Linked DNA regions of Nothobranchius furzeri. The protein of the gene in region 1 binds, or shares a complex with, the protein of each later gene. Links are inferred from orthologs where the notes say so. Each region holds a gene or a part of one and is shown in the gene's direction. Other genes may lie near its edges. The genes, in order: timm50, timm17a, timm17b and timm21.

Region 1 (7,448 bases):
CTATGTCATATATTCTGGAAGTTGTGCAAATGCAGGGATGAGAGTAGATATTCTGCTGGGATGGGGCTGGGTTGGTGCCCTCAGACTCCGTGAGGCTCTGTGATGCTGCTGCTTTGGGCCCTGGCAGGATGGGCTGGGTGGCATTTTGGCAACAGAGGTGCCTATTGGGGCCAGTGGGGGAGCTGGCTCCCTGGAGGGCTCAAGTCCAACAGGCCATTCCTCCCCATCCCCAAACATTTCTCTCCTCCTGCTCCCTCACATCATCGCACAAACATACACATAGGACCATGGGGGGTGGACAAGTCAGGGGGTGCGGGCATGGACCCCATTTCCGCATTCCTGTGGCAACCAGCCCCCCAATTTTATTTGCACCTTAAACACTTCCACCAGCGACATTCCACGCAAACACACACTTAGGGCCTCGGAAGTGAGCACATTCAACGGCATTTGGCAGGGGGATTTTTCAGCCTCATCCCGAGTGCCGGTGCCCACTTCCAATTTTAAACCGCACTTAGACACTGATGGCTGAGGGTGTAAGTGGGGTGGTGCGGTGGCATCAGCTGGCGTAGGTCAGATGATGCCCGCACTGCCCTCTCACCACAGCCATGGAATACACCTCATCAACATGCACTAACACAAAATTGGATAAATAAAATAAAATAAAATTTGAAAAAAAAAATCCCACACAACAAACTGACTATAAATGAAACATATCTATGAGCAGCTTTTATTCCAGGATACAGTAGTCACATGATCAGAACTGCAGGACCCTGATGTTCTGATTAAAAGATGGAAACTGCGTATCTGACATGAAGAGCAGAGCTGACCTGTCCAAATTATCAGTTTCTATAACGCCCTCTTAGGGTTTTACAACCTCCTAAGGTGCTTCAAAACACAATTAGTCATCCACACATTCACACACTGCTGATGATGAGCTACAATGAAACCACAGCTGCCCTCAGGCGCACTGACAGAGGTAAGGCATGCCATACACTGGAACCACCTGTCCTTCAGACCACCACCAGCAGGCACCAGGTGGGTTAGGTGTCTTGGTTAGAGTTAGGGTTAGATCTAATCTGCAACCTTCAGATTACAGCCTGCTCTACCTCCTGAGTTCTTTCTGTTAAAAGTTGTGACAGCTCAACTTAGGTTGTTATCTGGATGAACAAGAATGTTTCTGGAACGATGTCCCATTAAATAGATGTTTACCCATAATGCATGACAGCACAAACAGCTGATCCCAGCAGTCAGCACGGTGGTGGAGGGCTGATGGTTTGGACTGGTTCCGACCCAACAGGACTCATTAAATCCACCATGAACTCTTCTGGATACCAAAGCCTCTTAGATTCTAATGTGAAACCATCTGTCTGACAGCTGGAGATCATCTCAAACTGGGTCATAAAAGATAATCATGATCCAGAACATGGAAGCAGATCTACAACAGAATCAAGATGTTGGAGAGGTCCAGTCAGTGTCCAGACCCGAACCAGACTTAGGACCTTCAAAGAGCTGAATGTCAGCAACCTTTAAGAAGAATGGAGCAGAACTCCTCCAGAACCATGATGGTGTCAAACAGAAGATGATTCCTGAGTTCCTGAAGGAGGATCTACAAGCTTAGGAGCTTTAGTCTTTGTTCTGATTGTTTTTCTGTATTCAGTCCAACTGTGGAGAACCCACCACAATCACCTGATTGTGATGGTGGTTTCCTTAGGGTTACCAGTCTCAGTCAGATTCAGGCCTCCTGTAATCTCACGTTTCCATGTTAAAATCAGGCCAAAGCTGCAAAGTGATCCTTTAACACAGATGTGACATTCACTAACAAACTGAATCTTTCGTTCGGCTTTTCAGATTAAAAGATGAGAACTGAATCCTTGTAAAAGAACCATTCCGCTTGTCTACTGGTGACGCCCACACCCATACGAATACGTAAACTGCACCACTGGGCGCTGGAGAGAGTAACAGCATTGCCGCCATATTGGATGGGTTCCGCACTTTCCAAACTAAGAGTGGGGAACTATGCCTGTTTTTGGTGCAGCCTACGGTTGCAACCATAAACACAGAGTGGTTGCAACACCTGGCGCACTGTTGAAAACAGACCACGTGGGATTAATATAGACTTTTCTAGCCTTCCTTTTGGGATTTTATATTTTCATTCATTTTGTTTATATTTACATTTTATTTATCATGCCATACCATGCGTCTGACTTAATGAAAAAGCATAATAAAAGGTTTGTTTTAGTAGGTTTATAGTTTCTCCGTAGATATAGTTGCACGGGGGCAAATAATGACCCATCCAAGATGGCGGCTCGCTACCTCACAAACTACCTACAAAGTCCCATTTGACTAGGGCGAATTTGCCACCAACCGTCATGGTGGTTTTGTGTCGCATCCGAAGGTCAGACTCATTTTCACTTCTGATTGGTCTAAATTTACTAAGCACCGCCCTTCTTTTAACCACGTGGACAACTCCGTTTCTGATTGGACAGTGTACTGGTCCGTCAACGCGAGCCAAACCAATCGCAGATCTTTGTCTTTCAGTCTTGCGTCACACGCTCACCGGCTGCTACAATCCAAGATGTCGGCTGTGTTCCCCATGTGTGTCCGAGCGAGTCACGGCCTCCTGAGGCTCAGCAACGGAGCGGTAGGTGCTTCCAGGCTGGCAGCGATGGATATCATCCGGACACTCTCCACAGACGAGCCGTCTGGCGGACCGCGCGGCGCGACGAGCGGACTAGCTCAGGCTATCCTCCAGGAGCGACTCCAGCAGCACCAGAGCCAGGTGAGGTGCGCTCGGTTTTCTGTCCAGCGGCGAAGGCAGTGCAGTTTGTACGTTTAAGTCATGACTCCGCCCTTCCGAGAATCCCCATTATATCAAACCGAAGCTACATCTAGCCACGGACGGCTAAGCGTTACCTGTGCAGGTTTCTCCACGGGAGGGTTTATATTATTGCTCGTTGGTTTTATGTGTTGCTGTAGCTGTGCGTGACCGTAATCGTGGGGTCTGCAGGTAAAATGCTGCGTCCTCTCTCATACTGACTTCAGCCAAGCTTCATTCTGTTAGAAAAATAACAGTCAAGGTGCTTTAGGCTAGAAGGACAGAACAGGACCTTCTTCTCTCCTCTAACTCATGCCAAACATCTCCGGGATGTTAGAGTACCCATCCATCAGTGTTTGAGATCCCATTGCCCTCATAAACGGTGGCTCTGTCAGAAGTTTTATTTATTTTCTGGCTGTATTGTAAAAATACTCACCTGTTCAGGCTTTTATTTTTGTATCATCTGCAAATCTGTGATTTCACCTGGTCAAAGGCGCTAATCCTGGTTGACCCACCAGATTAAGGACAACATTTGTTGAATTAAATCTTTTTGTTTGGTGCTTAATATCATTTTTGGAGGTAACAAGAGGTCCAGCTAACGTGTCTCAGTGCAGCATCACAGCTTTGACTTGTAATCAGACTTCAAGGCAAGGCAGCTTTATTTTTATAGCACATTTCACACACAGAGGCAGTTCAATATGCTTTTCCATTAGCAAGAATAGCAAGAACATTAAAACCAACACGACATGGCATCGGCCGATACCGACATCGATGCCGATATATCACGCATCCCTAATTATGTCACCAAGATTCTAACCTGGGTCTTTATTCCTCCGGAGACAAGTCGATCAATAACCTCCATCCTATCCTTCAGATTTCCAAAGACAAGAACTTCAGTCGTGTCTTTAACTGGAGGAAGTTTGACTGCATCCAGTCATTAACCTGCTCCAAACACTGGCGGTGTGAGTGGAGAGGACCACAGTCACTATGTGATAGAGCTAGGTAGATCTGGGTGTCATCTGCATAACTATGATAGGTAATGTTGTTATTGTATGACCTGGCCCAGGGGGAGCATGTAGAGATTGAAGAGCAGTGGTCCGAGAATTGATCCTTGGGGGGACCCCACGTGTCATGGTGATCTGCTTTGACTTCAAATGAAATATCTATTGTTATTGTTTGTTTTTCCAGGGCCAGCCACCTACAGAAGAAGGTCAGAGCAAGAAGGAAGGAGAGCAAACAGATGACAAGAAACAGAAGGAGAACATGGCCTATGCAAAAAAAATGGTGCTGCGGTTGGCGGGACTCCTAGGCCTTGGCGGAGCGGTCAGCGTTGTCTACATCTTTGGTGAGTAGGGCTGAACGATTTTTCGTTTTTGGACCGAAATCGTGATTTCAAACAGCACGATCACTAGGGATGCACCGATACAATACTGGTATCGGTATCGGTAAAAGTTAACCGATACCAGTAAATGATACCAATGCAGTTGCTTGACTTGACTTGACTTCACTTTAACTTGTCATTTCTGTTCACCTAATATTTTAGTTTTGTAATCACTTATATTACTTTTTATCTACCTTACAGTCTTTTCCTATTGAAAACAGAAGAAAATAAAACCTGTATTCCAATTCATTTAATTTTTTTGTGTGGTAGAAGTATCTGTATCGGTATCGGCGAGTACTCAGATCCAAGTATCGGTATCAGTTTGGAAAAAAGTGGTATCGTTGCATCCCTAACGATCACGTGACCGTCAAAGCTGCGGTTTTTGCGTTTTTGACTGATGTAACATCCGGGGTTTCCCCGTGTGTTATGGTGGCGGCAACAGGCAGCGCGGGGGAGGGGGTGGGGTATACTGTCCAGAGCCGAGCCCAATTCCACAGCTGACTGAGTTGCAGGTTATCTTCCATTTTAGTTTTCCACACACAGCGGGGGCGCAGTTGAGTGGGGAGAGAGAGACTCCTCCCACATCGGCGGGTTCAGGCTCAACGTCACTTTTGAGATACCCGAACCACCGCCACACTACTGACGTTGAGTAACTTTTCTTCTGAACAATGTCATCATCTCCAGAAGACAACTCCGAGTCATGACTGGGATCTACTTCGCTGTTTTCAGCTCCACGTTTGGCCATTCTGCTTATTAAACCTCTTCCTCGAAGTAGCGGAGCAGGAAAAGTGTAATTGCAAATGCTTCTTCTTTTTGTTAAATGGCAGTGGGCAACCAACGCGCATGGAGTGTTAGCGCCCCCTACTGAGGCTGCACACATCTGTTATTTCTGATCGAGACTCCCAGCTGATCACCGTAATTGAACTGAAAATGATCGTGATCACAAAGTGCGATCATATGATTGCCCAGCCCTAGCGTGTTCCCCTGTCCTCCGGGCCACACACACACACACACACACGGGACTGTCTCAGCTGTTATTTTCGTTAAGGAGTGTGCACGTACAGCATGCGCGCCTCGTGCACGAGCCTACTATTGAAGCTGCCGTTAACGCTTTTGGCCTGAGGGGGCGATCGTGAGCATAAAAATTAAAAACTCTGTAAAGTCCCTTTAAGTTGTAACATCCTTTTGTTGGCATTTTCTACATAGATTACCCATACATGTGTATTAAATTAAACCATTTAACAATGCTTTTAAACCTCTTTGAAACATGAAATAAAATAAAGTAAATCACGTCTGTGACCTTACATGACACATAAAATAAAGCAGTTAATAAATCATTACCTTTTAACATGCTTAACTTATCTGTATTCTTTAGCACCTTCTAGTGGACAAAAGAGTCCTTTTTACTCAGCAGAACACCCTACAACATAAATGTTCAAACATATACACATTTACGATTCAACATTCAAAACCCACCATGTTCCTCATCAACAAGGAGCTCAAACCATCGCAGGTGTTTAAGAAATAAACCTTATAAACCGTAATTTCCTTTAACACCTTCCGTTTACCTCCATGGAGTTTTCCCGCTGCTGTGCGGTTTGCGACACTGATTTACGGCAGCTTGTTGCTCTGTTCTTTCAACAATAAAAGCCGTTCCTTCAAAATAAAAGCATCATCCGTGTTATACAGTAAAATAAGGAATAACATTTGTAACCCATGAAATGCAAATGAATGGACCATTAACACGGTCAGTTACAATCACATCAGGTCATTTTTTAACTGCTTGTTGCCATGAGACAACAGAGGACGTTCTGCTCCAAATCATGTCCTCGTCCTCCCATACTTGACTCTCTGCTCTACTCTCTGGGAATGTCCTAGCATTCTTGAGGATTGAAAAACAACCTGATGACGCAACAAAGTTTTAAAAAAGTCCTCTATTCATCAAATCTTTGACATAAATGCCATTTATTTATTTATTCATTACATTAACCATAATTATTAACCTATGAAGTTGTAATTATAAAATGATTAATTAAACAACTCAGCAGCCGCAGATTTCAAAATGTAACGATCGTTATTTAAAAGATGTCTTAAGAATTTAAAACCACATTTACCTTGTTGTTAATGAATAAAGGCAGCTTGGGATGTCGAGTGTACCAAGGAGTCCGTGCCGCCTCATGTAATGTTGTAATGAACGCAGGTAGACCGATATATTGGGCCGACATTTTCCATTTTTTATACATTGGTGTTGGACGATTTTTGTTTGACTTTAAAAAGAAAAGAAAGCAAGAAAGAAAATAATCTTTTCTATAGCGCCTCTCAAGATAAAAATCACGAGGCGCTTCACAAAATCAAAAATTTTAAATATAAAAAAGAATTTAGAAAATGTCTAAAAATGTGTTTAAAATAAGCAAAATACACAATTTTGATTAAAAATGCAGAGAGAGAGAGAGAGAGAGAGAGAGAGAGAGAGAGAGAGAGAGAGAGAGAGAGAGAGAGAGAGAGAGAGAGAGAGAGAGAGAGAGAGAGAGAGAGAGAGAGAGAGAGAGAGAGAGAGAGAGAGAGAGAGAGAGAGAGAGAGAGAGAGAGAGAGAGAGAGAGAGAGAGAGAGAGAGAGAGAGAGAGAGAGAGAGAGAGAGAGAGAGAGAGAGAGAGAGAGAGAGAGAGAGAGAGAGAGAGAAAAGGCAGAATAAGGAGAGGGTGATGAAGGTCACACCAAAACCAGCCTGAACAGGTGAGTTTAAAGGAGACCACCGAGTCCACTGATCTCAGGCTCAGGGGGAGAGAGGTCCAGAGTCTGGGGGCCACAGCAGCAGATGATCTGTCACCTTTGACCTTTAGCCTGGTGCTGTACAACCAGTAGGCTTTGATCACTGGACCTCAGGGACCTGCTGGGGGTGAAGGGACTAAGAAGATCACCAATGTAAGATGGTGCTTGTCCATGTAAGGCCCTATAGACCAGAACCAGGATGTTGAAATGAACCCTGAAGTTGACTGGCAGCCAGTGAAGCTGGAGGAGAAGTCGGGCACATCCTCAGACAGCCTGGTGCTGTTGCAGGATTTAATTTGTGTAGTTTTAGGTCCACTAATAACATCTTCATTATAAATACTCAAACTTAACTTAAGTGTCTGATTGTAACACTAAACATTACACCAAGTTAAAATGTAATAGTTAGTTAAATTCCGAGTTCAACAACCGGTTGTGCAGCAACCGATGTTATTAGGGATATTTTAGGAAGAAAATAAGTGGAA
Region 2 (7,399 bases), on another chromosome or scaffold:
TGCGGTTTGTCAGGAAGCTAAAGAACTGACATGAGCCAGACAGGAAGTGAGACATGTTTTCAGCAAGGGGCATCCACCATCCAGTATTTTTCAAAATAAACCTGTGCTGCATTGTTTTTTCCGGCTTTTGCTTTATTATTAATGACAGAGATATCGGTTCACAGCAGGGACGTAGTATTTTTTGGGGGGGGGGGGGGGGGTCCCCTTCTTTTTCCAAAGTCATTTTTTGTCCTCTGCACTTTTTAACCATCCAAAAACAAAATTACACTATTCTAAATAGACACGGGTGGAGCACTAGGACCAAGCAGAAAACAACCGTTTGTGTTGAAGCTCATTTCCCATTAGAACCTACAGTAAAGATACCCCCCCTTCCCAAGTGTTCATGCCGGTTGTGTGTCCCCCACTTCTAAAGTCAAAACTACGTCCATGGCTCAGAGTGTATGATGGTTGATGAGCATTTTGTTTAACATCTCCTCTCCGTTCATGTAGTTGTTATTGCATCAACTCACCATTAAATTTATGGAGAGTTGGGAGTTTTCCTCTCCACTGTCGCTTTATGCTTGCTTAGTATGAGGATTGCTGTATAGTCACTGACACTAGTAAGTGACTTGATGCAATTTGCTGGGTTCCTTATATAGGAAAAATTATTTCAGATTGGCTTAATGAACTGTCCTGAATTGGAATGTTTATTATGTGAAGTACCTTGAGACGACTCTTGTCGTGATTTGGCGCTATACAAATAAACTTGAATTGAATTGAATTGAATTGAATTGAATTGAATTGAATGGAGATGTTCCAAACATGATGTGCAGTCAGTGTGAATGGCAGTCCACCTGGAAGCCATACGAAAATGAACCACACACATTGTTTGTGTAAACATGGCCTTACTCCTTATTCACACAGAGTGCAGAATTGTTCCATAAACTCAACTTTTCAATTTTTAAAGTGGAGATTTTCTTTCATGTGTTCTACTTGATGCTGTTCATGTGAAGCTGCATGGCAACTCTGGCTGAAAAGGTAACCATCATCTGAGCATACTCAGACATGGAAAAGGGGAGCATGAGCATTACCAGCAACTGTTTATCTCTCCAAACCCTGCTTCAGCCTCTGCTTCCATATTTGGTCATTTCTCAATGAGAGTTTGCTTTGCAAGTCATTCCTTTCCCCCTTTCTAATAATGGGCTGCATGCCAGCTGTCTGTCTCTTGGCTGTAGCTGCTCCTCTGACCAGCAGCGTCAGTCTCTGATGGAGAAAAACAGGAGAGGGAATGAAAACATTCCGTTAAATGCTTTAACACTAACACACGGGCTTGCAGAAAAATTATGTCAACGTTTAAAAGCAGAAAAGAACTTTAATAGTACCAACTTGCGGTTTATAAGAAGTTTGTATTACAGTTTTTTTAAATGCCTGGAACATTCATTTAACCATTTTTTATGAAACAAAGAACAAAGTGGATTTTTTTCCACAGCTTTACCCTGTCAAATCAGGAAAACTTGAAGGTATTAAAGCTGCTTTAAGAAACTTGGAAAACAAATTAGCTTAAAACATTTTTTCATCCCTTTTTACAATCTTCTAACATAGTATGGCTATAAAATATTATGTAGTAAAAAGGGTGGCTTTTCTGAGGAAAATAGCATATAAAACATTTTTTCAGTTATTTAATCTTTTTTAGTTAAGTACATAACTCCACATGTGTTCATTTGTAGTTTTGATGCCTTCAGTGAGAGTCTACCAACGTACAGTAAATGGTCATGAAAAATAAAGAAAACATATTGAATGAGAAGTTGTATCCAATCTTTTAGCCTGTACTTTACACACACACATATGTGTGTGTGTGTGTGTGTGTGTGTGTATATATATATATATATATATATATATATATATATATATATATATATATATATATATATAGAGAGAGAGAGAGAGAGAGAGAGAGAGAGAGAGGGGGTCATATGAAAATTGTTACATCTATAAAACAACATTGGAGAAAACAGAGCATGAACATGGAGCATGAATGTGACACTGTCAGAAATCTTTCCGTGAATCTTTGTTCCGTTTGGTATAATCCTAAAAGAGAAAAACTGCATTGTTTTTATAAACAATCTTATCTTTACAAAGTATTATTAGTATATAGACCTACATACATGTACATATGCCTAGTCTCACCCAATGGCGTTTAAAAATTATCTTCCGTTTTACAAAAATGTTTGAAACTAATTCTCTTGCAATTAGGCTTTACACATTCATAGGACAACTTAATTTTTATCGATTTCCTTCTATTTAGTATTTGTTTTTCTACTGGTTTGGTATTCCATGTTTGTTTCATTTGTACTTTGTACCTCTTTTTATTTTCGCCCTTATGTGTTTTAATATATATGTCACTACAAGGTTTTGCTTCTCTTTTAATTTAGTGTCTTGAAGGAGCGTGATTAAAGTCCTGTGTTGAAAATTTGTCATTGTTCATTTTTTTTCAATAAAGTTTTTCTTTTTTAAGGAAGAAGTGACGTTACGTTACGTCAGTGGTAACAGCTAAAGAACAAAATGGAGGAATATGCCAGAGAGCCGTGGTAAGTTTCAAAATAACGATAAATGTTACAGTTTACGTTGTTTTAATAAAATTAGCCAATTTTATCTAATTTAAAATGAGCATTGCATTTAGTTTTCATCTTTATATTTATTGTTAAAGCTTGTGGCACATCCCGATACACCTGGAAAAAAAAATACCGGCTGGCCAATTTAGCTCAAATGCTAATTTCTCCTTGAGTTTAATGGGCTTTTGTGCTAGCATCAGAACGGAAAGGCTAAATCACGTTGTTGGTGACCTTGCCGTTTTTCTCGTCCACATGTCATCAAAGTAAATTCAGGAACTGAAGTTACGCTTTGTGAATTATAAGTGTCACAGTTTATATTAATCACTAACAGCATTTATAAAAGTTATCGTCTTCAGATATTGTTAGGCTATTAGACATTGTTGATGTAGCTGTTAGCTCAGTTAGCCACCAGTGTGCTAACCATCCGGATATTACACAACTTGTAATTTAAGACAAAATCGTATGATCAGACATATACATATCAAACGTTCTGAGATACTCCTATTGAGTTATATTAAATATGCCTAACACTGGAACACCTTAGTTGTCTAGCTGGGTCATCTTTATAAAAACAGGTTTAACAAGAGATCATTTAAAATTTGACAAATGCTGTTTTATAGCAAGACATTTTGAGGGTTAAATTAGGTTAATGTTTGAAATCCAAGACAGGGAAAAATGCCTTTTAATCATTTCCAGTGAGAAGAAGTTGGCTTTATATGTCAGCTGTTAGTTTGCTGCTATTGAGTGTTTTAAAACTGTTTATGATGCTGCTTTGTTAATCCACTCATACAATGATCTCTCTCAATAACTGGGATCTTAGTATTGTAACACATGTAATTTGTTCATTTTTGTTCAGACAAAAATGTCAAAAAACATACTTTGACAGGTATGGCAGATTTGTAGAGTTTTTGTAAAGCTGAACATTTCTAAGTGTAGTAAATGAAGTGTAAGAAATGAGCTCAAAATTTCATCAGTCTTCAAATTGTGTGATGAGAGTTGCGTCATTCTTCAGGTGTTATTCTAAACCAAGTCCAGGTTCAAAGACTTGACTGAAAAAATAGTCTGACTGAATCAGACATGAAATTTTTTCAGAAAACTTTATTTTAGAAAAACTGCATGAAATTGGTTCTTGGATGTTAAATATAAATGAGTTGAAGAAAAACTTAGGGGGTTATCGCTCAATTTCTGTCATCTGTTTTCATAAGAGTGGTTACCAGAATTATTCAAACATCACATAAACAGAACAGTTTAAAAGACATAGTTATCAGTGTCTGTGTACTCTGTCACCAGACCTTTTGCTGTGTTTAATAATTCACATTTTGTTCCTCTTTGGTATAAATCAAACTCTTTTAAGCATTTCTATTTGTTGCACCTATCTCTATTTACAGTTCTGGCTGCAGGGCTAGGGATCGCTCATCTCAGTAAACTCTTCCCTAATTACATCTCTTTTTTCCCCCCCATAAAATTGACACAAAAAAGTTTTTTTCTTGAGGCTTCATAGTTTGTTTTAATCTCAATAGTTCTGTGTGTCCCGTATAGTAAATGCTACAGTTCCAATTAAGACTGTGTGTTTATTTGAACTTCAGCTTGGAAGCACACACTTCAAACATCATCCATGACTGTGTTGCATTTTAACACTAAAATAAAGTTTTCTTGAGACTTTTTTTAGATCAGAATTTTGAATTCTGTTTTTTACTTGTAGCCCCTGGAGGATTGTGGATGACTGTGGTGGAGCTTTCACCATGGGAGCTATTGGTGGAGGAATTTTTCAGGCTGTGAAAGGCTTCAGAAATGCACCTTCAGTAAGTTAACCAACAGTGTTTTACAGGGTTCCCTTTTACACACTCACATGAAGACTAGCCTTGACATTTAATGGCTTGGTCAAGGATGCTGGATGGGTCCAAATCCAGGGATAGTATCCTAGTAAGGACCTGGATTACCCGGTCTGTTGGGTTGGGCATCGATTGGAACCGGGACTAACCGTCAGTTTTTTCCAGAATCGTTCAGATTTAAGGCTGCTGACCGGAAGAAGAATCTGTTGTCGATCTCCGTGAAAAAAGCATGATATGCAAATTCTGATCAATGCCTTTCAGAGCCGATCATACCAGCTATCTGTCGGTCCTACTCGCAGCCCGCAGAGACCCTGAGAGCAGCATTGCGTCCCCCCTCCTTAGCCTCACACTGCGCAGGTGCGCAGCGGCTAAAATGTAAACAAACTTGTCTGCAGAACTTTTACTCTGTGATGTAAACTTTAATTCCTGCAGTGAAAAATGCATCGTGGAGGAAGCTCGTAAAAATGTGTTAACATAGTGGATTTAATGAAAATTTTGAAGAACAAACTCCAGGCAGTGTGAGGTGAGTTTGGCTTCCTGCAGAAATAAAAACACGGAGCATCAACAGTCAACTGCAGCCACTCACCAACACTCATCTGTGTGAGCGTGACCGTCGGAAGACTGAGCAAATTACCTAGAGCTAGATCAGCCGTTCTCTGTGGCGGATGACTGACACCGATTTCTAGCCACTAGTCTGTCCTTGATATTTGGGGAAAACAAGGACACATTTTGAGTTTCCTTCATATTTGGAAGGCCTTGTCACTTTTCTGTGGCATAATCAACCTTAAAATGTGGCCTTGAAAGGATGCAGCCTCTGGATTTATGCACAGCCCCATAAATGCAACTAGAGGGCTGTGGTCTGTGTTTATCTGAATCAGAAAAGTTGATTGTAGTTTTTAGATTTTTAATTGTATCGAGAAAATCACTTCAACTCCTGAGCTGAGAATCATTCAGCACTGATCCATGTTTCGTCCTTTTCCAGGGGATGAGTCACAGGATGAGGGGTAGTTTAACCGCCATCAAGACCAGAGCCCCACAACTAGGAGGTAAGAGAAAAAGAAGATCAGAAACAAGGGATGTATGGGTTAGGGTGTATTTGAACTTATGCAACTGAAGTGTTGAGGGCATTTTGACTACGTCTCCTGGCCTGGTTTGGTCATGTGAGCTGCAGATCTAAGGCTAAACTTTTATAAATTATCTCATGGGCAGACCACAACAAACCATCCCCAAACACGCTGCTGAAAGGACGAGGAACACTGCAAGGAACATACACTTCTGGAAGGTGTTACACGGTGCCTATGGCAACCAAATATATTTATAAAAAGTAATTTGTTCCCACTGCTGTAATGATCCTTTACCAGTGTAAATAAGCTCCAACCATAGTACACAGTGTCACAATGAGTGTATGTATTTATGAATGTTTTTTGGTCCTGGAGAGTCAAAGAAAAATGTCCACTGCGGTGTTCAATAAAGTTCTGTTCTATTCTACTTAGTTGATTAAATATAAGCAATGTACACACATGCTAAGCTAGGCTAATTGCTAAGCGTGATGCTAAGATGTGTGTAATAGTTGGTAATGTATTCTTTCCTTTTTTGTATATTGCACCTATGATGAAACATTTTTCAAAAATCTTCAGATGAGAAAAGCGAGCCTTGGAGGAAGATTCCTGTTTTGTTTTAGTGGTTTGCTAGCTGGCTAGCTACACATAGCTATGTGTAGCTAGCTGGCTAGCTACACATAGCTATGTGCTGTGAGGACAGCATATTTTCATTACACAGAGAAACATCCTACTTTTCCACAAGTTGAGTAAAATAAAAATAAAACTTCAGATCTGTGATATTTTGACATTTTGAGAGAGAAATAGCTACTAAAGAGTCAATGTATAATATGTGCATGGTATGAAGTTGGGTCACTAAAAGAGTAAAAATCAATACGGATATTTCATTTCAACTCCATTATCAGCTGGTATTAATGGTAGGCCGCATGTCAAACATCCCTATCAAAACATCTTTATATAGTTCTTTTTTTTAAATTGCATTACTTGCAAACTAGTTGGCATCATGTTGTTTACATGAAAATGATTTAAGTAAACCTCTTGCTTGCACTTTTATATTTCACTTTTTTCTTGCTACAGCCAGTTTTAGCGAAATGAATTAGCTGATAATCTCAAGTCACCTTATAACTTTTATTTATGAAATCCAAAATAAATCTATCTGGTGCCTCCTATTTAACATTTGCTTGGGGGTTGAGTGTCTTTTTTAGGAACCTATACTCAGTGAACGTTTTAAAGTGTTTGTGAATGTGTGTGTTGCAGGTAGCTTTGCTGTGTGGGGAGGCCTTTTCTCAATGATCGACTGTGGTTTAGTAAAAGTCAGAGGGAAGGAGGATCCCTGGAACTCGATAACAAGCGGGGCCATGACAGGAGCTATCCTTGCTGCGAGGAGTGAGTACATTAGGTGGACGCACAACCACAGAAGGCATGTGTATAAAATATGTGTTTCTCTGTAGATGGACCAGTTGCTATGGTTGGCTCTGCTGCTATGGGAGGTATTTTGCTGGCGTTGATAGAGGGCGCTGGAATCCTGCTCACAAGATTTGCTTCTTCACAATTCCCCACTGGTGAGTAACTTTTGTCCCGTAAAAACACTCGGCAGAGATTGTGGGATGTTTTTCTGATATGCATTAGGTACGCCCGGTCTCAGTGAACATGTTTTTATATTTTTAAATGTCAATGTTGGTTGTCTTAAGTAAAGCCCTAAAATTAAAGGATGATGTCTGCTCTGGCAAAGAGGGACATGTTGGCTGGGCTTGTTGCTACTCAACACCTGACATGCTTGTTTACTTTACTGCTAATGGTGTTTGCTCACCAACAGTCTTGTCTCCATGCACACAGGAATATGCAGCCCATTTAATAGTAGATATTTATAAAAGATACTTATATGTTTATCACCTGTTTTCATTTGAACTGGTGGCTT
Region 3 (7,650 bases), on another chromosome or scaffold:
CTTGGGCGGTTGGTTGGCAGCGTTGGCCCGCAGCACCGCGCCTGGACTCGGGTACGGCCGCTGCTGGAACAGCGGGCCGGCGGCTGTGGTGTCTGCACCGGTTTTGGCCTCGTTGCGTTTGGGAAGACCACTCGACCAAGAGCCCCTGTGGAAAACAGTTCAGCAGACCTTTAGAGTGGGCCAGCTTGTTTGCTAACGCCTGGTTGTTTAGCTAGCGCTAGAGCCGTTTCAGCTGGTTAACTTGACCGTTTCGTGTATTCAGCAGACGCGTTTGTCCAGAGTGACTCACAAATGAGCGTTTTTACACACAACACAAATGTGTTGGGCTGTTCTGCAAAAAAAACCTAAAGTTCTGACTTCAGTCGACAGGACAAACCACAGAACCCGATCCCTTTAGTACCCGTTTCAGCCAGAAGCCTTCCAGGAATCCACTTGTTGAAAACTACAAATTTTATTCCTGCAAGTGTGCATTAGTGGCATTTCCATAGATGCGGCTAAAGACGCCATCACTATAAAGCCAGGCGTTGAGTTTTGAATAAATAATATGTAAAGAAAGTTGTAATAATGGGTCAAGGTGACAGGTGCAGCTTTTCCAAAACACGGGATTTAGCTGAATTTAAAGCCTAGACTGCAGAAAGCTTGGCCGAAAGAAAAATGATACTAATGAAAGTAGAACGACTACTTTAGAAGACCCCGAGGCTAAAACTGTATAAATCACATGTTTGATTCAAGTAGCTTTAAAGACGTAAATAAAAACATGATCATGCACCAGAGTTCAGTTCCGGCGGGTCCAGCCCAGAGGGTGAAACCGGAGGAGAGGGACTGCAGCGTGTGACTCAGAAAACTGCAGCCACCTCGCTCCCATGAGGTTTCAGAGCCACGTGACTTGGCGCCTGCTTTGCAGTGCCAGCAGCAGTCGTCCAAAGTTTCTACCCAGCATGCATCATGTTACACCGCTGCTGCAGTGCTGTGCATTCAATTAAAGACTTAAATGTCTGCTTTGTTCTTTAACTTACAAAGCTGAAGCTGACATGTAACTGAGTGGAATGACGACAGGGGTAATTTCCTGCCTGCTGCTTGTTTTACTTTACCTGGGAGCATCAGAATAAGCGCTGGGGTCCATGGGGTCCATCTCGTCATCCTTTCTTCCTGCAAACACGATCAGATTTTAACTGTTATTGTATCACAGATAAAGCTTTAACGTGAAAACGAAAGACTTCTGTAAGCATCACCTCTTTTGTTCTTGTTGTATGGTGCCATGTCGTCCCTCCTTTGCTTTCTTCTGTCTCTGTCCCGCCCATCATCTCTGTCCCTGTCTCTGTCCCGATCTCTTTCTCTTTCCCGGTCCCTATCCCTGTCTCTGTCCCTTTCCCGTTCTCTCTCTCTGTCTGGCTTCTCAAACGGTCGCTCTCCTCTTTCATCTCCCAAATCAGCTAAAAACAAATAATAATGCAATTTCTGTGAAAAACATTCCTCGTTTCTTTTTTAAAGACACTTATGCAAAACTGGCGAGTTTAGTTTTTAAACCCACCTTTCATTTTCTTGGCAGCTTTTGTTATCACAGACGAGGGGTCATTTGGGGACAGCCAGGCGACTAGATCCGTCTCAACATTCCAGTAGTAAGGAAGACCACTGAGGGTGGCAGGAAATCAGGAAGAGAAGGCTAATCAGCTTACATACTAAACATGTAAAAGAGACCCAATGACATCGCTTTGTGAATTCACTGGAAAGCTTCATCTGGACTGCAAACACCCAAACACAAGCGCACTGGAGGTAAAACTACCAAAGAACCGTAGATAACCAGTACAGTGTACGTACCAAGCTGGATCAAACACTTTGTACCAGTTTGGAGGAAGATTCTCTGCTCTGGTGGCTTCATAATCTACATTATTGTCATCATAATCTTCGGCAATAATCTCCTCATCTGCACCTGTTATTAAAGGAGAAAATACTGTTACACGACATACGTGTAAAGTCACAGAGAAGGATGCATGGAGCCAGCGTGTTCAAGCCAAATGAGAACCTCGTTCTGTTGGTTTAACGATCCCCCTCTTGGCCAAGCGGGCCAGCAGAGCTGGAGGAAGAGGCATCCTGAAAAACACGAGATGCTGTCACAACAGTCACCTCGAACATCTGTACATGAGGTCAGTGGTTTCATAAATCCACAGCAAAGATACAGAAAATTTACTTGTTTCTCATGTGTTCTGATATTTAAAGTATACAGCCTCAATTATACACAACGGGGTTTATCCCAATAAACAAAACGTCTCTTTACTGCCAAATTACGTACAAAAACGAGTTAATTTATAACAAATAAACATCTGAACAGAAACCTTTCAGATAAAACATTGTAATGAAATATGGAGAACATAAAGCTCCCAACAGCACACGCAGTAAAAGGCGTCGGGCTTTCAATACAATTTGAATAAATGCTGTTCTTACGTTTTCAGTTGAAGTTATGTTCAACATTTGAGTTGTGTTATTTTTAAAGACTTTAACTACAGATGTAGAAACAGTCTGACATTCGTAAAATCTGCATTTATTTGCACGAACAACAAACGTTTACCCGAAGGCTAACCCTGTTAGCAACCGCTGGATGATTAAATCAACAAGCAGACTGCGTAAGTACTTCCATGCCCGGAAGGAACGAAAATCTGAACGTTTACGCTTCAAAACGGGATCCGAACAGGAACAAGTTTACCTGAGATAAAGAAATTCACCCAATAGCAGAGAAAATGATGTTAGCACCGCCAACGCACTAGTAGCGCCGGTCGCACGTGTATGACGTCACAACGTCTAGACGAAAACAAACATGGAGGAATATGTCCGCGAACCTTGGTAAGATTAGTTTGTCTTTAACTGTAAACTAAATACGGCTAACATACATACCAGTGTTGGTTTTTCTAGTGAAACATAAACATGTGAGAGAACAGAGACGCGTTGTGAGTTCTGCTGTCAATCCACGTATATATACGTGCTTACGTTCAATGCAATTCAAAAATACTTTATTAATCCCAGAGGAAATTGATTGCTGTAGTAGCTCAGAATAATAATAATAAACAAGTCATCAAAGAGTTGTTGTATATTACAATGGCTGTTGGCAGGAAGGATCTCCAGTAGCGGTCAGTGTTGCAGCCAAACTGAAGAAGCCTCTGACTGAAGACACTCTTCCGTTGTCGGACAGTCTTGTGAAGAGAACGCTCAGGGTTGTCCATAATTTTCTTGATTCTCTGGAGAATCCTCCTTTGCATTTTCTCCTCCAGCGGTTCCGAAACTGCCGAAACTCTGGCTGAGTCCTTGAAAGGGCTTGGAGTTCCTCCATCTTGTTGGCCAGTGATCTCACATTGCCCGTTATGATCGATGGAAGAGACGGTTTGAATTTCCTCTTTCTCTGTCTCCGTTTTGCTCCCGCTCTGCACCCACGCTTCTTGCGTTTTAGCTCATTTGGGATTTGTGGCTTCAGTTGAGGTATTATTTCAGCCTTTCCAATGTTAATCAGCTGCTCCCGATTGTAAACCAGCTTGTTGCCATGGTTACGCATCATAACAAATGCTCAAAAAGTGTAAAAAGCTAAAAAATAGCAGTAAAAATCCTCCAAGCTTCACAGCACCAGAAACAGAAAAGTAGTGTCCAAAAAAATACCGTTTCTCTTGAGAAACTAGAAGAAAAAATGCCCAAGAAAAGGCAAAACTTACATATAGTCAACAGAGCTACTCCAACATGCAGCCACCCAGAGCAGCGCAGTTCCGTTGACGTCTGTATCCTGATCTGACTGTATATCTTGTATTTTGACGGTGTCTTGTGTGTCCTCCCCTAACCTCCTGCAGCCCCTGGAGGATTGTGGACGACTGTGGAGGAGCTTTCTCCATGGGTGTCATCGGTGGAGGGGTGTTCCAGGCCATCAAGGGCTTCCGAAATGCCCCTGCTGTGAGTTTAAAACAGACTAGTTTGACTTGACTTCTTGGAAGCCTTTATAAACCTGTCTGTAACATTTCAGGGTGTTGGACACAGACTAAGAGGAAGTGCAAAGGCAGTGAGAGTGAGGGCCCCACAGATTGGAGGTTTGACCCGTTGCTGCTCTGCTCCTCACACACCACTGAAGGATTTTGGTCCCTTTCTCTAAACTGAGCTTCAGCACTGACGTGCTTCTTCTACCAGGTAGCTTTGCCGTATGGGGAGGTCTCTTCTCTACGATTGACTGTGGCTTGGTTCGCCTGAGAGGGAAAGAAGACCCGTGGAACTCTATAACAAGTGGTGCGCTGACTGGAGCCATTCTAGCAGCACGCAGTGAGGATAACACTCAACAACCAAACACTAGACAGGAACTCAGTAACTCACCAAATGTTTTGGTTTGCCTCAGGTGGGCCGTTGACCATGATGGGCTCGGCCATGATGGGCGGGGTTTTACTCGCTCTCATAGAAGGTTTTGGCATTCTCCTAACCAGATACACAGCCCAGCAGTTTCAGAACCGTGAGTGCCTTTCCCGTCTCTGTAATATACACCAGGTGCTCAAACTGAACACCTGCAGACATCTTTAAACCACTTTTGGGTTTTAGTTAAGCCATCTGTCGTTTGAAACCGATAACCAGTAGGATACTTGCAGCACGTCCAAGAAAAGCCTGACAAGTTCACTTCTTTCTGCTTGTTGTCTCCAGCCGTTCCCTTTGCAGAGGACCCCAGTCAGCTTCCTCCGAAGGACGGAGGGCCCCCCCCATAGCCAGCAGCAGGGCCCAAAAGGGCTGTTCCAGTAGAGGGTTGAGTCCAGCTGTAGACCAGAGCAGCAATGCCCTTAGGACTTGGCTGTAGAACCTCAGGGTCAGTGTTTAAATGTTTACGTGCGAGAGTTGTCGCTGTCGTCTTTATGCTTAAATATCTAGTTTGAGTTTCACATAAATGCTTTCATTATTCATAATGATTTAAACACGTATGTTTAAAACATGGGGAGAACATGTTTGGTCTCTTCTGGAGTCCGCGTGGAAACACGAGCTCTCAGCGTAAAACCCTCCTGTCTCCACTGTCTGGATGAGCTGATGTCGCTGGCCCGAGACTGCTGGCAGCCACACAGGCGGAGCGTGAATGTGGACAGGGTCGTGTGGAGCTTATTTACCGCAGTGATGCTAATTTTCTTGTTGTCTTAATGTTCTTTGATTTGACTCCAGATTTATTAATGGACCCTTTGTAAAATGGTCTCATACTGCTGAATGGACGAAGGTTCCAGACATCAGCAGCAAGACGTCTGTTATTATTTTGGGACAAACGCTTGTTAGGACCTGTTCAGAATGGCAGCAACACGAGACAAGGACAATGAGAATCCTTGGAAATTCCCTCTTGATTTGAAAAGGCGCCCCCAGCAGTCACAGATAGCCCAGTGAGAGCCCAGATGCACGCTCATTCACAGCCGCGCTTGCATCACGTTTGAGGATCTCGCTAGAAGACTAGGTCTTTCCTGGAAGAGGTTTGCAGGAAGCTCAGCTCTTACTCGAGTTCCCACACGCTGGTCCTCCTGAACATCTCTGCAGCCTTTTAAAGCTGCAGTTTGTTTGTGAAACCTAGTAAAAGACCAGTGGCTGAAGCCAGCAGTCAACACGCTCCTCTCCAAGACCTGCATGGTGGGGAAACCATTTGCTTGTTTTGTTTCTTCTGTAGGAAAAGTCTTCAGAAAAAGCCTGTAAGCGTAACTCTTACTGATCAAACCACTCGTTTCCTCCGGAGCTGGTGTTGTAGAGTCCAGCAGGCTCAGAGGACACACGTAATCAGGTGCATTTGTGACATTTTGTTCTGTGTGCTCAGCGGATTTTACCCTGAAGAGTTTGTTTTTTCTTCTTCTTCTGTTTAAATGTCAGCGGTGACAGTCACCGCTAACCAGAGCTAGTGCTTCGCTCCTGCTCTTAAGGTGGAATTTGCGTTTCCACACGTGAGATCTGTAACCGTTTGGTTAGAAAAGAAATCAAATAAGATGTCAGCAATGTAAAAATGAAACGTTCTGATGTGAGTTGGCTCACTCTGCTCTGGAACGGCTGCTGATTTTCTTCCGAACTGTAAACAGAGACTATGTTTATTTTATCTAAATATATTTATTGTACAAATATTTAATGAACAATAAAGTTCCAATATATTATTCGATAATGTATTAGTGGTTGTACTTTTGCTAACCTCACACCTGTTCTAGTTTAGGACGTTTAACGTTTTCTAGAGAAATGACAGAATGAAAGTGACCCCTGATGCTGGTTTGTGTCCTCAGTGAAGATTAGCAGAAAAGCTTCTTGCTCACTTGTTGTTGTTGTCAGGTAGGAAGGTCCAGCTCCGTTTCTAACCCAGGATACTGCTGAAGGGGTTTCCATGTGAATAATCTTTATTTTCTGACGATCAAGCCACGTCTGCGTGCGTCTGAAAAACTAGACCTTTGCCTAACTCAACGAGTGTTCCTGTGATATGAAGCCTCACAGGACTGGAGCTTTAGTGGTCTTCCCTCAGAGCCTGGATCTTCTTCTGGTGTCTGTAGAGACCAGCCACCATCTCTATCGATGGTCATCCTTTGGAAGATTCTGTTTGAAAACTCAAGACAAACTGTCCGTGTGCAGCTTCGACTCATCTCATACAACTCCACACTCAGCCGAAGCAGCCAAGAAGGGCTTCTGACACGTTTCTGACTTGACTCTTGTTCAGGTTCTGACTAAAGCCTCAGAGTGATGTGAAGGAAGAAGCCCCCACCCCCCACACACACCCACACACACACACACACACACACACAGGGCAGCACAGGGAGACTAAATCCTCTCAGAAACCAACAGTCCTCAATAAAAAGCTACATTTGTTTGTTTATGTGACGCCTTTCATGGGAGGAAAATCCTAAAATGCTACACAGGAACCCTAACCCTGACCTAAAAGCATAAACTCACCAGATGAAATGATAGATTAGATTCTTAAAGCGATCAACATTTTGCATTTCTCCACAGGGTCACTCTGATTTTATCTAGGAGGAACATCGTTGAGGTCTTAAATAAAAGTTTCCACCTGAAGCTCCATCTCAGCTATTTCCTTTAGTTTTTACTTGTCATCGTTTTCATTTTACCTGGTTTAGCTGAAGCGATCCCATCAAGCTAACCCAATATCTACCTTTAGATATTTGTGAATGTGTTATTATTGCTGCTGAAATGGCTCTTACCTCACTTTAATAGTAATGTGGTTGTTCCTAAAGATCTTTTGTTTTCTTTTGTTTTACTACATGTATTCAAGTAAAATAAACAGAAAGTAATTATTTATGTCAATATATATTTATGTATGATTATATATGTTTGATTTGATTAGTAAGAAAGGACTTATGGTAAATTGGTACGTTGTTTTGCACAGCACCGGTTATAAGCTAGTAACTAGCTTAACCTAGTTAGCATTAGTGAAGCTGACACATCAGTGAGCTATTTTGGTTTGTTTCAGTAAACAAAATAAAAGATAATATCTAAATAAAGTTTTACCAGATGTAAAAGACTTGAGTCCATCTGAGCAGCAGGTGATCTGTGTGTATCTATGTGTTTTTGCGTGTTTTTGTGTGTGTAATGTAGTTAAAAGTCTTCAGCTTGTCCAAAATGCTGCAGCTAGAGTTCTGATGAGAATTAAAAAGAGAGATCATATCTCTCCTGTCTTAGCTTCCC
Region 4 (6,868 bases), on another chromosome or scaffold:
TACCTTTAATGTAAAACTACTCATAGAGGAGGGGAAAAAAACAGATTCAGGTTCTCAAATCATTTTCATGTGACCATCCGATCAGTGAGCGTACTGCTTATTTCACTTGTTTTCTACTTTGATGTCACACTCTCACAGTAGAGAATCAGGTTGCTTTTTATAAGAAAACAAATGATGGCAGAGAATATTTAAAATGAAATAAACTTGAAAAAAACTGAGTGTTTTCAATTTTATCAGCCCATCAACTAACATTTGTTTAATCACTCTTTTACTGATACCCTCTGATCTATGTTTAACACATTCACGACTATTTTTGTACATTTTTTAACATCCATGATAAGATTTATTTGAAATCATGAGAATAAAATGCTGGACTGAACATTTTAAATAAACTAATGTTTTCTGATTACGTTGTTACAACTCATTTCTTCCACATAAAGTTAGGTGGAGAAAGTAGATCTTCAAACTTTTATACAAGCCAAACAAATGAATGGGCAGGAAAGTGCCATTTAGCGAATACCCTCCTTATATCAGGGACGCTGGAAAAAAACTTTTTTTTCCTCTTGTGAATATTAATATTAAAGGTGTGGAACACTGAAAAATTATTTCATGCAGGCTGAACATGAAAATAGTCTCCTACACCTATCTCCTGCATTAGCTTCTGATAGACGGTGAAACTAGGATTTGAAAAGCCTGACAGATCTACGTCACATTGTCATTTAAAGAGACTGTGTGTAGTTTCCTGACGCTAGAAATCAGCAGAGAACGTCCCAGCTTGTAGAAGCTAACTGTTAGCCTTACCACCACATGGCAGAACTCCTCCATGTTTGAGTTAGTTCTGGAGAAAAAACATCCACGTTGCAAGTCAGTGGTATGTCGTGTAATGGTTATCCAATCCGAGGCGAGATGTCCAAATATCAGGAAATAAGACTCCAAAATTCAATTCAATTCAAAAATACTTTATTAATCCCAGAGGGAAAATGATTGCTGTAGTAGCTCAAAATAATAATAATAATCAAGTCATCAAAGAGTTATTGTATATTACAATGGCTGTTGGCAGGAAGGATCTCCAGTAGCGGTCAGTGTTGCAGCGAGTCAAAGGGTGGAGTCAAACACTGTTTCCATCATGGGAGAAGAAGTGGAGGTGGTTGAGGAATACAAATACCTTGGAGTTCACCTGGACAACAGACTGGACTGGAGAAAGAACAGTGAAGCTGTTTACAAGAAGGGACACAGCAGATTGCACTTCTTGAGGACGCTTAGGTCCTTCAATGTCTGTAGCAAGATGCTGCAAATCTTCTACACGTCTGTTGTTGAGAGTGTAATCTCTTCAGCCATCGTCTGTTGGGGTAGTTGCATCAGAAGCAGGGACCTGAAAAGGCTCAACAGCCTAATAACAAAGCTGGTTCTGTTCTGGGGACGACTGTGGAACCAGTGGAGGAGATTATGCAAAGAAGGATTCTCCAGAGAATCAAGAAAATGATGGACAACCCTGAGCATTCTCTTCACAAGACTGTCCGACAACAGAAGAGTGTCTTCAGTCAGAGGCTTCTTCAGTTTGGCTGCAACACTGACCGCTACCGGAGATCCTTCCTGCCAACAGCCATTGTAATATACAATAACTCTTTGATGACTTGATTATTATTATTATTATTCTGAGCTACTACAGCAATCAATTTCCCTCTGGGATTAATAAAGTATTTTTGAATTGAATTGAAACTGAAGAAGCCTCTGACTGAAGACACTCTTCTGTTGTCGGACAGTCTTGTGAAGAGAATGCTCAGGGTTGTCCTTAAGTTTCTTGATTCTCTGGAGAATCCTTCTTTACATTATCTCCTCCAGTGGTTCCGAAACTGCCGACACTCTGGCTGAGTCCTTGAAAGGGCTTGGAGTTCCTCCATCTTGTTGGCCAGTGATCTCACATTGCCCATTATGATCGATGGAAGAGATGGTTTGAATTTCCTCTTTCTCCATCTCCGTTTTGCTCCCGCTCTGCACCCACGCTTCTTGCGTTTTAGCTCATTTGGGATTTGTGGCTTCAGTTGAGGTATTATTTCAGCCTTTCCAATGTTAATCAGCTGCTATCGATTGTAAACCAGCTTGTTGCCATGGTTATGCATCATAACAAATGCTCAAAAAGTGAAAAAAGCTAAAAGAAATAGCAGTAAAAATCCTCCAAGCTTCACAGCACCAGAAACAGAAAAGTAAAGTGTCCAAAAAATACAGTTTTTCTTGAGAAACTATAAGAAAAAATGCCCAAGAAAAGACAAAACTTACATATAGTCAACAGAGCTACTCCAACATGCAGCCACCCAGAGCAGCGCAGTTCCGGAAAAGCCGCCGTTTGAAGCTCAGCTCTGATGTGGCTCACTTCTAGTTCCTGAAAATGGTGCGCCGGTGTTTTCTTTCCCCAGAGTATGACACACGAGATGTTTATTCCTACTAGAGACTACTGCAAATGTATTGATTAAATGAGGAAAGGGAAGAGGAGAATGGGGAACTGCACTTGTAAAGTTACAATAATTAGTACACTTCCTGTAAATTCTTCTCAGAAGTACCAGGATGTGAACGTTTCCTGCATCATGTAGATCGAACTCAGTCCTTCAGTCTATGGCTTTTAAGATTAAGGATATTTCCGTCCTCTGGAAGACAAAAACTGTTACTACAGTCAATGTTAATAAAGCTAAACAAGACCATACTCATTATTACTTCCTGTATGTTCTTTCAAAATAAAACATAGCATAGTTTAGTCCAGATAATGAGAAAGCCAGAACATCTTCTCTTATTCAAACTACTTAACTACTAAAACTCAATAAATATATCTAATGTATCTGTGTTTAACCAGATGGAATCAATGAGCTAAAGCAGGAAATATTAGCAGCTAGCTGAACATTTCAGATCTCTGCTCCATCTAACTTCTACTTACTGAAACAGAAGAGCAAATGTTTTACTTTTTTCTTCACAGAAAACGACTCACAAGGATTTACACAAGAGCCACCATAACAAATGGGGGGAAATGTTCCTGGTATTGCAAGCTTGTTGTTTCGTTTTTGTCCGGTAGGTGGAGGTAGTCCAAGCTGATTTGTTTACTCCTAATAAAGACAACAAAGAAGAAGCTACGCCATATTGGTGCGACCTAAACCAGCTTTGTTTGTGTGACATTAGCCGATTAATGTTCTATAATTAAACGTCACGGTGACATAATTATACACTATAGTAGGCCAGCCGCTGTAGTTTGTACTGCCGTTCACCTCAATGTGGGTTTATTGACAATAATGGCGTATCTTCACCCTTTAAAAGCCTTGTTACACCGAAGTCTGCAACACACAGCGGCAGCGCAAACATGTCAGTTGCGACTGTTAGCTCACGCGCGCAGGACTTTGTCCACAACACCAGGACTGGTCCTTCTCGGGACAGATAGTCCTCTGTCTGCGCTGAGTTGTCTCCGTGTGGCTGTGAGACCGCTCCACTGTTCAGCCAGAAACAGGAGCAGGCCAGAGGACGAGAACAAAGCGGCGGTGTCCAGGTATCAGCGCGCAAGCCCCAAAGCTTCAGCTTCCCAGAAGAGTAAGCTAATGCTAACGCTATGTTGCTATGCAGCACGGTACAAAATGCTGTAGGTTAGGGTTAGTTTATGCCAATTACTGCATGCTGTTGTTTACTAAAGTCTCATTGTGGGTGTCTTCCAGTAAAAGAAGCTGGTAAAGACTTCACCTACCTGATAGTTGTGATCATCGGACTGGGAGTGACAGGTGAGAGTAGCCAGACTGCAGAAACAAACGTGTGATTAGCAGCATATTTAATTTGATCTTACCCGCTGCTGTCAAAATAAATAAAAATGTGTGCGTTTGTGTTTAGGTGGACTGCTGTATGTGGTTTTCCAGGAGCTGTTTTCGTCCAAAAGCCCAAATAAAGTCTACGCAAAAGCTTTTGATAAAGTCAGGTCACACCCAGAGGTGAGAATGACAAATGATTTACTCTTTTGGCTCTTTTCAGTATAAAGTTACATGCACGGTGCTGTTTTTGATTTGAAAGTGCAGGTAATCGGGGCATTTGGCGAGCCAATCAAGTGCTACGGTGAGACCACCCGCAGAGGAAGGAGGCAGCATCTCAGGTACAAACTAAACTAGGCATAAAACTGTGTTTATTTGGGATTATGCTGTTTTTTAATCTGTTTTTGTTTTCGCCTCAGTCATCTGGAGTATCTGAAGGATGGACTGAAGCACTTGAGACTGAAGTTTTACATTGAAGGCTCCGAGCCAGGCCTGAAAGGAACTGTTCATTCAGAGTCGAAGGAGGTGTGTAGGTTTCTGATCTGCTCACACAATATCCATTTTATAATAGCTGGTATCAAATACTAAGAGCTGAGAGGAAAACTGCATCCATTGTCTTTTGATTTGTTGTCTTTGGTTTCTTACTTCAGAACCCAGAAACGGGGAAATATGAATTTCGTTATATATTCGTGGATCTAGATACCTACCCCAAACGGAGCATCATCATAGAGGACAACAGATGAGAACCCCTGCTGTTCACAATCTGCATTATTTAAATAAACAAGGCACTGGTCACTGGATTACAATCTTGTCCTTTTTAATTTGAAACTAATGTGTTAAATGACTCAACAAAGTCCAGTTTGTGTCCCTGCTTTAGACCTTTTGACCCCTCTTTATTGCTGATCTGTCCTAAAGTGTCCTTCAGGGGGGCTTTCTTTTTAAATAAACGCGGACTCTTCTGCTTGACTAAATTAAAAATTTTGGGCATTTCTTTTTGCAACATTTATCTACTTTCAAAAAATAGATCCATCCATCCATTTTCATCCGCTTATCCGGAGTCGGGTCGCGGGGGCAGTAGCCTAAGGCGAGAGGCCCAGACTTCCCTCTCCCCAACCACTTTGGCCAGCTCCTCCGGGGGAATCCCAAGGCGTTCCCTGGCCAGGTGAGAGACATAGTCACTCCACCGTGTCCTGGGTCTACCTTTAGGTCTCCTCCCGGTTGTACGTGCCCGGAAAACCTCACCAGGGAGGCGTCCAGGAGGCATCCTGACCAGATACCCGAGCCACCTCAACTGGCTCCTCTCGATGTGGAGGAGCAGCGGGTCTACTTCGAGCCCCTCCCGAATGACCAAGCTTTGGCAGAGCTGCCTCAGCCAACACAGCCCCACAACATCCAGAGCCTTAAGGAACTCCGGGCGGATCTCATCCACCCCTGGAGCCTTGCCACAGAGGAGCTTTTTAACCACCTCAGTGACCTCAGCACCAGAGTTGAGAGGCCAACCCAAAGTCCCCAGACTCTGCATTCTCACTGGAAGACGTATCGGTGGGATTGAGGAGGTCTTTGAAGTATTCTGCCCACCAATCCACAACGTCCTGAGTATGTTTGAAAGTTTTTTTGATGGGCTGAATGTTTCACTAGTGACCACTAGATGGAGACAGTCTTACAAAATATTGATTATAGTGGATAAACTCATATAATCCCTGGCATTAACCTAAATACATGTTTTTGAATTTTGACTTCTTAGGAAATGTCCACTAAAACTGGGACTGAGCTGGTCTTATTGGACTCAGGTGTCTCCAGTTCTTTTTGCTGTGTTCTTGTCACCGAGGTTCTCTCTGCTTCTGGATATCCTAAAGTTATAGAGCTTTATTTCTGCATGCCGGCTGGGTGATATAACAACAAAGTGGGAGACATGGACTGAGGTCTACAAGTTCACCCTAGAACCCTGGTGCCTGGAGGACTTCAGGGAGATGTGTCAGTACCACCAGACTTCTTGTTCCATTTTCTTCTGCAAGTTCCTCTGCATGATCCTCAAACCAGATGGGAGGGTTACTGACATCGGCCACAGGCTGATCCACCTCCAGGTTTCCATCAGAAGCAACTAGAGGTTTGGTGGAAACCACAACCAGGGACCTTCAGGAGATTCCTGCAGTTTTCAAGGATTTGTTTGGGAATATACTTCCATCACTTCTAAAACCAAAGGATGAGTCCATCACCCCTCCACCAGTCACATACTGACCCTACTTCTTCCATTACAATGGGAATCATCTAGAACTTTAATGTTTGAAATGTTTTTACTTCCTGATTTTAACAATTTCCATACAGAACAGAATACAACAGAAAAGAGAAACGGTCACTTTGATTTAATAAATTATACATATGGTTTAAAGATGTACAATGGTCAGTTATTCACAACTGTCCAATTTCGTAAGACAAAGTCTGTGTTCAGAGTATTTACACATGTACAATTAATCAGGCAGCACTTAAAGCAAGGCATGAGCGACAATACGGACGATGGATTAAGATCAAACCTTTACTTTATCTGCCTACACCGTTTGGTTGAAATAGAACTGGGCCGTCCCGCCATCAGGACTGTATGAGTTTCCCATCCCGTCTTCAGTGGGTGTGAAAGAGACTGAACACAATCCATCAAATCTACTATGATCCACAGAAGATTTAGTAGGATTACTCTATGAGGACTGAGCTGAAATCTAAGGATTGAGCAGAGAAGATGCAAACATGTGGCACACGCTGGAGGTGAGAATTCACTCTGCGATGGGGTCGGAGGGCGGGACTGAGCTCGCTCGGCCGGATTTACGTTCGTAGTTGACGAGCCTCTGACCAACCAAATACCTGCGTGAACAGATGACGGAACATTAAGATGATTCAATAGCGTTTGATTTCTGGGAGGAAAAGAGGCAGAACAGATGCGTACTTGTCATTCTTGATGTGTTCATAAAGGCGTTTAAACTGTCTGATCTGAAAAGACAGAATCCCAACGAGTGACACGATCATCAGGAGGAATGGGTAGATCCTCCTCTGCATTAAAATCTCCATCTCAGCCGTAACTCCTGCACACAACAACCATATCATGT

Evidence for each region.
Region 2: timm50 (region 1) and timm17a share a complex: the UniProt entries of both Homo sapiens proteins name them as parts of the TIM23 complex. The link is inferred for Nothobranchius furzeri from reciprocal best matches to the Homo sapiens genes TIMM50 and TIMM17A.
Region 3: timm50 (region 1) and timm17b share a complex: the UniProt entries of both Homo sapiens proteins name them as parts of the TIM23 complex. The link is inferred for Nothobranchius furzeri from reciprocal best matches to the Homo sapiens genes TIMM50 and TIMM17B.
Region 4: timm50 (region 1) and timm21 share a complex: the UniProt entries of both Homo sapiens proteins name them as parts of the TIM23 complex. The link is inferred for Nothobranchius furzeri from reciprocal best matches to the Homo sapiens genes TIMM50 and TIMM21.

The regions. Positions count from the first base shown.
Region 1 is NC_091753.1:57,195,979-57,203,426, reverse strand, and holds the start of timm50 (mitochondrial import inner membrane translocase subunit TIM50), read left to right. Parts: upstream 1-2,539; 5' UTR 2,540-2,557; coding exon of another isoform or gene 2,558-2,575; coding exon 2,576-2,779; intron 2,780-4,003; coding exon 4,004-4,160; intron 4,161-7,448. Other genes in the region: clip3 (CAP-Gly domain-containing linker protein 3), read right to left, coding at 2,558-2,595. UniProt on the Homo sapiens protein: Essential component of the TIM23 complex, a complex that mediates the translocation of transit peptide-containing proteins across the mitochondrial inner membrane. Has some phosphatase activity in vitro; however such activity may not be relevant in vivo.
Region 2 is NC_091743.1:60,933,180-60,940,578, reverse strand, and holds the start of timm17a (mitochondrial import inner membrane translocase subunit Tim17-A), read left to right. Parts: upstream 1-2,467; 5' UTR 2,468-2,541; coding exon 2,542-2,567; intron 2,568-4,293; coding exon 4,294-4,393; intron 4,394-5,405; coding exon 5,406-5,469; intron 5,470-6,738; coding exon 6,739-6,867; intron 6,868-6,932; coding exon 6,933-7,043; intron 7,044-7,399. UniProt on the Homo sapiens protein: Essential component of the TIM23 complex, a complex that mediates the translocation of transit peptide-containing proteins across the mitochondrial inner membrane.
Region 3 is NC_091755.1:41,957,975-41,965,624, reverse strand, and holds timm17b (mitochondrial import inner membrane translocase subunit Tim17-B), read left to right. Parts: upstream 1-2,754; 5' UTR 2,755-2,812; coding exon 2,813-2,838; intron 2,839-3,263; exon of another isoform or gene 3,264-3,372; intron 3,373-3,827; coding exon 3,828-3,927; intron 3,928-3,997; coding exon 3,998-4,061; intron 4,062-4,158; coding exon 4,159-4,287; intron 4,288-4,360; coding exon 4,361-4,471; intron 4,472-4,656; coding exon 4,657-4,718; 3' UTR 4,719-6,127; downstream 6,128-7,650. Other genes in the region: pqbp1 (polyglutamine-binding protein 1), read right to left, coding at 1-145, 1,092-1,149, 1,233-1,433, 1,532-1,632, 1,819-1,930, 2,024-2,090. UniProt on the Homo sapiens protein: Essential component of the TIM23 complex, a complex that mediates the translocation of transit peptide-containing proteins across the mitochondrial inner membrane.
Region 4 is NC_091747.1:54,071,367-54,078,234, forward strand, and holds timm21 (mitochondrial import inner membrane translocase subunit Tim21), read left to right. Parts: upstream 1-3,086; 5' UTR 3,087-3,275; coding exon 3,276-3,567; intron 3,568-3,689; coding exon 3,690-3,752; intron 3,753-3,858; coding exon 3,859-3,956; intron 3,957-4,040; coding exon 4,041-4,114; intron 4,115-4,192; coding exon 4,193-4,298; intron 4,299-4,423; coding exon 4,424-4,516; 3' UTR 4,517-4,579; downstream 4,580-6,868. Other genes in the region: E3 ubiquitin-protein ligase MARCHF6, read right to left, coding at 6,539-6,626, 6,709-6,844. UniProt on the Homo sapiens protein: Participates in the translocation of transit peptide-containing proteins across the mitochondrial inner membrane.